Linked DNA regions of Ovis aries. The protein of the gene in region 2 interacts with the protein of the main gene of each other region in a biochemical or structural test. Links are inferred from orthologs where the notes say so. Each region holds a gene or a part of one and is shown on either strand. Other genes may lie near its edges.

The links.
Region 1: the proteins of NUP155 (region 2) and GLE1 form a complex in vitro, tested with the Homo sapiens proteins (2 studies listed by BioGRID). The link is inferred for Ovis aries from reciprocal best matches to the Homo sapiens genes NUP155 and GLE1.

What each region holds. Positions count from the first base shown.
Region 1 is NC_056056.1:7,817,995-7,821,643, reverse strand, and holds part of GLE1 (mRNA export factor GLE1), read left to right. Parts: intron 1-3,080; coding exon 3,081-3,223; intron 3,224-3,320; coding exon 3,321-3,511; intron 3,512-3,649. UniProt on the Homo sapiens protein: Required for the export of mRNAs containing poly(A) tails from the nucleus into the cytoplasm. May be involved in the terminal step of the mRNA transport through the nuclear pore complex (NPC).
Region 2 is NC_056069.1:37,133,743-37,137,491, forward strand, and holds the start of NUP155 (nuclear pore complex protein Nup155), read left to right. Parts: upstream 1-1,534; 5' UTR 1,535-1,661; coding exon 1,662-1,818; intron 1,819-3,749.

The sequences.
Region 1 (3,649 bases), on a different chromosome or scaffold from region 2:
GCTATGTGCCTTGGCTAGTTTACTCTCTGCGTGTAGAAGGTAATCATTATGTGTTTGTTGACTCTTTTCTTTTTAAATAAGTTATGTATTAGTAGCAAATTATTTAGGAAGACTCTTAGCTACGATTGGAAGTTACTGGGGAAGGCACCCCTTAGGGAGCCTAGGATGTGACCCGCATTCTTCGCTTATGTCCTACAACGTTAGCTTTTCCAGACTCAAAACCTGCTTGTTAATACATGAGAACCCTGAGAATGCCTACTCAGTCTCTCGAGAGACTGAAATTTAGAGAGGAAGAACCACACGAGGGAAAGACCCCTCTTCTTCTTTAGAAACAGAGGTTCATTTTCACAGAGCTCAGATGTAGAAGCCTCCACATGGCTGGGGAGCTTGTGCAGCTGGGAAGCTGCTCTGACTTAACCTCCATCCAGGTTCCCTTGATTAACTTGTTACCTAGAAAGCGTGGAAAGTTGCACTTCTTGCCTTTGAGAGGCTCTGTGACTGAACTTACATATCACTTTGCTGCCTGAAATTCCTTCTGGAACAAAGCAAGGTCTAAATAAGTAAATATGTATCACTTTCTAGAATTGAAAGTGCCATTTCCTTTATAGCCATGGCATTGAGGGGCAAGGTTGACCAGACAGTCGTCCCACACTTTCTCTGGTCTGCTCAGGTTCGTCCTCGGTCTTTACCCCTCAGTTGACCACAGGCACCCCTGATGCCTCCTTCGTCTGGAAAACTGAGACATCAGGTGTAAGATCCTCAGGATTCCCCTCAACCCCCCAACCCACCCGCTGCAGTAATACACAGCTGTATTTACCTGCTTTGAAACCATCCTGTTTCAAAGAATGCAGTACCCTTCCAGCCCACACTTCCCCTTCCACCTCGGCCCTAAATGAGCCTCAGGAGCCTCGTTATCATCCCCTTCTATCTCCGTCAAGAGAGAGCTCTTCTGTTTTCTACAAAATGACTTTCTTTACACGCTCCTTTCCCTTTAAACATGCTTGTCACTCACATTCTAAAACCTGTTTCTTTTGATTTTGTGTTTTCTCAGTCTTTTCTAATCTTCATGTTACCCTTTGGCTCTGTTGACTGTTCCCTTCTCTATCACTTCTAGTCCTGTGGCTTCTGAGGTAACATTAATTTCCGGCTTCTCCTCCTCCCTCTCTTTCTCTTTTGTGGGCTCCTCAGTCTCCTGCCCCCACCTGGGTGGTAGGTGTGTCCTGGGGATGTGCTTTCACCCTGCAGTTCTCATTCTAAGACCCCCTGGCTTCAAACTTCACCTCTGCACACATGACACCCAGCTCAGTCTCCGGGTCATTCCTTTCCTCTGAGCTTCAGGTTACCTTGCTCCAGCTACCTGCAGGGCAGCTCTGCCTAGGTATCTCTCAGCTTCCTCAGGTTTAGTGTTCCCAGCTGGCCTCTCATCGTCCTCCTCTCGCCCACCTTTTTTCCGGTTTGCTCTAAGTAACCAGTAGAAGCACCTTATCTACTCAGTCACCTTAACTGAACCCGGGAGTCCTCCCCATGACTGCTTCCTCTGGGTCATTGTCTGTATCTAATTAGGCTCTGGTTTTGCGGTTCTTGATTTTCCTGCCTATTTCACAACTGTGTCCCTTTGCTTCCATCAGTATCATAAGCTCTGTGAGAGCTTACAGCCCTGTCAGACACAGACATTCTGCAGAGTTAGTGCTCAGTAAGTGTGGAGTGACTGAGAAAGAGGTGACCTAATTCCTGCCTCTTCAGAGGTGCATGTCCACGAGTAGTTAAATGTGGAGCAGAATTTAAAGACAGATATGGTGCCATTGTGGCATACGGAATGTGGGAGGCCATGTCAGGCACCGGGCTGGGATCTGATTTTCCTAATTGGAGGGGCACAGGGAGAGGGGCTGGATGGGGACTTGGCCAGTGGGGCCCTCTGAAACCATCAGTAAAGAAATAGTAGGGTTATAGGTTAGCAGGAATGTGAGCTGAGTAAATTTGATGGAAACATATATATTTTAATATCTCAGGTTAGAGTCTCTGCTTCTGTTTTCAGGGGATTGTTGGCCTTGAAATTTCTATGACATCTCATTATTTAACTCTTGATTTCTTCCTTTTTCTCTTAATTCCTAAGAAATGTGCCACCCCTCTTCCCTGTTTTTTCAATGAAACTGAATCAGTGGTCTGGGGAGGATATTTCTGAGATTTTTAAACATTTCTTTAAATGATTATGAACTTGGTACAGGGTATTAGGAACTTGGCAGGTAAATTGGAGATGCTGTATTCATTCAAACATCAATTTTAAATAATAGAAACTAATTCATATCTGCTTAAACCAAAAAAAGGGAAAGGAAGGAGGAATAGGTAGAGTGAGGGGTTTGTCCTAAAGATAAATCAGTTTTCTACGGCAGGAGTGGGGCTGGATCTGAGGAGCCAGAAATGTCAGGACCCTTTTCTCTCTTCTCTTGGGCTTCCCTCTGCCCACTTCATTCTCCTTTTGTAGACGGCTGTTCTTTGGTCCGCATGACAGCACCACTGCTTACATATGTGTGTGTCACAGGACTGGCCACTTCAGGGAACTGACTCAGTCAACTGGCTGATCAGCTCAGCTCAACTCATCCTGATCTAACTAGCCAGTGTAGAAGGTGGGGCACACAGGATCTATAATATGAATGTAATAATAGCTTCTATGGAGGAAGGTAGGTCCAAGAGAAGGAGGGAAAGCCCCTGTGAATTGGAGATTCTTTAGAAGGTTTTCCCGGAGTTACAAGTGACTCCTTTAGGGACATCAGCCATACCCGTAGCATCTGGAACAATTCAGCACCTATTTTTATACTATTGATCTCTCTGATGTGTCGGTTTCAGAATTAGTTCATTCTACCAATGATAAATTCCTTCAAAATAATACCACACCCTATGTACTTTCACATCCTCCACAACCTGTATTTGATTGTCATATATTTTTCTGCATCTGTATTTTGGCTTTAGGCTCTGAACTTCTGTAGGGCTGGGTTTATACAGAGGCTTTGTTATTGCAGTGATGAAAAGAATAGATTGACTGCAGTCATATCGTATCACTGACTCTATCTCTGTCGTCCCAGGCTCGAAGCTGAAGGAGATCTTTGACAAGATCCACAGCCTACTTTCTGGAAAAGCTGTCCAGTCTGGTGGGCGCTCCGTGTCTGTCACACTTAACCCACAGGCCCTGGACTTTGTCCAGTACAAACTGGCAGAGAAATTTGTGGTGAGAAACCTTGTTGCCAAAGGTATGGGAAGAAGAGGCTGGTGCCTAGCCTTTAAGGCTTTCTTGAAATTAAATTCTCCCCTCTCTGTGCTCCCAGAAACAAGGGGAGGAGGAAGTGGCCTCCCATCACGAAGCAGCATTCCCCATCGCGGTCGTGGCATCTGGGATCTGGGAGCTCCACCCCAGAGTAGGGGCCCTCATCTTGGCTCACCTGCACAAGAAGTGTCCTTACTCTGTTCCTTTCTATCCAGCATTCAAAGAGGGAATGGCTTTGGAAGACTATCAGAGGTGAAGTGTTGTTCTCCTTACTGTCCCCAGGAAGAGAGAGAGAACTGAGATTCATTTCCCCTCCTCAGAGCATCTCTTATGTACCTTGAACATTCTGTCAGAGAATACAGTGTCTTTCATGCAAACTGGGTGGCTTTT
Region 2 (3,749 bases):
TTAGCATCTGAGCTACTAGGAAAGCATGTTGGGTAGCCTATTCTATAACAGTCCTACTATGCGCTGGGGATGAAACAGTGAATTAGACTCATCTGCTTCCCCTCTTGGAGAAGGCAATGGCAACCCACTCCAGTACTCTTGCCTGGCAAATCCCATGGATGGAGGAGCCTGGTAGGCTGCAGTCCATGGGGTCGCTAGGAGTCGGACACGCCTGAGCAACTTCCCTTTCACTTTTCACTTTCATGCATTGGAAAAGGCAATGGCAACCCACTCCAGCTTTCTTGCCTGGAGAATCCCAGGGACGGGGGAGCCTGGTGGGCTGCCGTCTATGGGGTCGCACGGAGTCGGACACGACTGAAGTGACTTAGCAGCAGCAGTTCCGTGTCGCTACCAGTTGATTTTGTGGTACGTTACCGTGAAAATTTATGTTTACGAAATCTTCACTGGGTACAGAGATCTGATGCCTTGCTTTATTTCTCATTGCAGAGGGGAAGCTGCTGCTGCTAAGTCGCTTCAGTCGTGTCCGACTTTGCGACCCCATAGACGGCAGCCTAGCAGGCTCCCCCATCCCTGGGATTCTCCAGGCAAGAAAGCTGGAGTGGGTTGCCATTGCCTTTTCCAATGCATGAAAGTGAAAAGTGAAAGGGAAGTTGCTCAGGCGTGTCCGACCCTCAGCGATCCCATGGACTGCAGCCTACCAGGCTCCTCCGTCCATGGGATTTTCCAGGCAAGAGTAATGGAGTGGGGTGCCATGGCCTTCTCCGGACACGGAACTAGAAAGCCTGATTTACACTGAAGCCCATTAGAAATGTAGAGAAGTTTTGGTTTATGGGTAAACTTTTTCTAACGGTTACCAATTCCTATCCACTCTCAGAAGTTACTTGGTAGTGAAGTTGCTCAGCCGTGTCCGACTCTTTGCGACCCCATGGACTGTAGCCTATCAGGCTCCTCGGTTCACGAGATTTTCCAGGCAAGTGTACCGGAGTGGGTTGCCATTTCCTTCTCCAGGGGATCTTCCCAACCCAGGGATCGAACCCTCATAATAGGCAGACACTTTTACCGTCTGAGCCACCAGGGAAGTCCGAAGTTACTTGGACCACCAACCAAATTGACACGAAACTCAAATAGGTGCTGTTTCGGATTCCCGCTACCCGAAGCTCGAGGCACCCGGATCCAAGCGCGCGCTGAACTCACCAGAACCCGAGCAAGTCTGCGCAGTACCCGCAGTAACCGGCTCCCACCCACTCGGCCCCTCCACCCCTCCGACCCCTCCACCCCTCCTTCCTCTCCACCCCTACAGACCCCCGTCCCGTCCCTCCCCTTCCCTTGGCCCCACCCCTTTTCCCTTCCACCTCCGTCTCTCCCTTCCTCCAAGACAACACCGACTTCCCCCCGCCTCCCCAAACAGCCACCTCCCTCTCACTTAGCTCCACCCCTAACGTCCACCCCCACCTCTATCAAGTTCCCCTTCCCAGCTGCCAAATTAAATGCAAGCTTCAAATTCCCCACCCGATGAACCGGAAGTGCGTCATGCACTGGCGCCGAGGCGCTCGTTTGGCGCGCGCGCTCTAAGCTTTGGGGCTGAGCTAGCTTCTTGGGTTTTGTCTTATTTCTCCTTGCTTTTTGACTTTCTCCGGTTGCTGTTGTCTTCGGTTTTCGATATGCCGTCTTCTTTGCTGGGGTTGGCGATGCCGGCCTCCACGTCGGCGGCAGCCCTGCAGGAAGCTTTGGAAAATGCGGGGCGGCTCATCGACCGTCAGTTGCAAGAAGACCGCATGTACCCGGACCTATCCGAGCTTCTCATGGTGTCTGCTCCAAGTGAGTGATCGTTGCCCAGTTGGTGACTGTTTCTCAGCCCAAAGGACTCTGATCTGACTCCATAAATAGGTCCCATCCCCAGGGTGAATGGGCGAAGACATCCTGAGATTTAGGGCGTTCGTGTGGGTTGCCATTCCCTTCTCCAGGAGATCTTCCCAACCCAGGACTCAAACCGGGGTCTCCCTCTTTGCAGACACACTCATTACCGTCTGAGCCACAAGAGAAGCCCTAAAGGGGGAAAAGAGCCCATTTTCAATTTTTTCCTTCTCTCGCCCTTCATCACAGGCAATTGAGAGGCTAGGAACGAGGAGCAAGCCCCTATTTGAGGCAGAAAGAGGCAAATATTTTAACCTTAATGAGCTTCTCACTACCTTCAGGTGTTTATCGCTAAGACTGGATGAGGAGGATCACCTGATCCAAGTTTCATCTGTTAATATCTCGTTTCACTATCGGAGTAAAACCGAAGAGCAAACGAAGTTAATTAGGAAATTTACTATGTTCGCTGAAAGATATGCCATGTTATGTGTAGCGTTACTGTAATATGAAATGCTGAAGGGTATGAAAAAGAACTACAAGCGGAATGAAGGAAGGGAACAGGGAAACGAGTGATGATGAACAGGGAGGGTAGGGCAGATTTTGTGCCAACAAAAGACAGGTGTCTGTACAATATTCTGTTTAATGGTTTTGAATTAAGGTCCGGCTCCTCAAGGCACATAGAATCACACAAGTTGCTAGAAAAGAAGTGACCCTTGTGTAAGGTGGAAATTGGAGAAAAGTTGAGGAGAGTAAATAAGATAAGCACAAGGTTTTGGCAAGCATGAACCAAGATATTTTAAGCAGGATAATTCCCAGGTGGCTCCGTGGTGAAGAATCCACCTACCAGTGCAGGAGATGAGGGTTTGATCTCTGGGTTGAGCAGATCCTCTGGCTACAATGCTCTTGCTTGAGAAATCCCAGGGACAGAGGAGCCTGGCAGGCTACAGTCAATCGGATCACAAAGGAGACGGACCGGACTTGGCAACTAAACAACGACAATATTTGCAATGTAAACCTAAAAGACAGCTCCTGCAGTTTAATAAAATTCATTGACTTAAAATCAGAGAAAAGACAGGAACAAAGCAAGGAGTATTTATTCCTGACAGCTACTCACACGTGGGCTTGTCTTGTAAGAACTGAGTGACCTGTTAGCAGCTCTCATTTTGAACAGCACCACTCCCTTTGACCTTATTTCTGAAAGTAAACTGAAAACAGTGCATATCTTCTTGTCTTCTCTTCATATCTCACCCCAGTTCAACCTGTCCACCTTTACATACATCTACCTCTCTAACCAAATCTTTCCTTCTTCCATCCTATTCTTTACATCCTTGTTCCAGTTATACTGAATGTAACACATTTACTATAATAAGAGACCCCCTCTTTCATTTTTCATGTATTCGTCGTCATTTCTAGACTGTTCTTCTTTGCCTAATAAGCTGTTTTTCCAGGCTCCATTAAATATCTCTTTCCTTCTGTAGGCTTTCACAATTCCATTGTTTTCCCACTGCCATTTAACATGCACAGTGTTCTACATGTAATGTATGGCTGAGGTCCTTCACTGTTCACCTGAAGCTATCACAACCTTGTTAATTGGCTACACTCCATTACAAAATGTTTTTGGTGTTCAAAAATAAAAGACTTTTTAAATTAAAAAATAGTGAAGTGTCTCAAAAATTATATTTTAATATTAAATAGAATGTCTGCAATTTGCTTCAAAAAATACGTTAGGGAAGAAGTGGATAGGACTGATATATGTAAAACATGACTGGGCATATAACTGGTAGTTTTTGAAGCTGGATACTCAATACATAAGGATTGACTGAATTTGTTCTCTAGTTGTATAAATTTTTAAATTTTTCATAAAATTGTTTTGTATGTCATTTCCCCACAACATC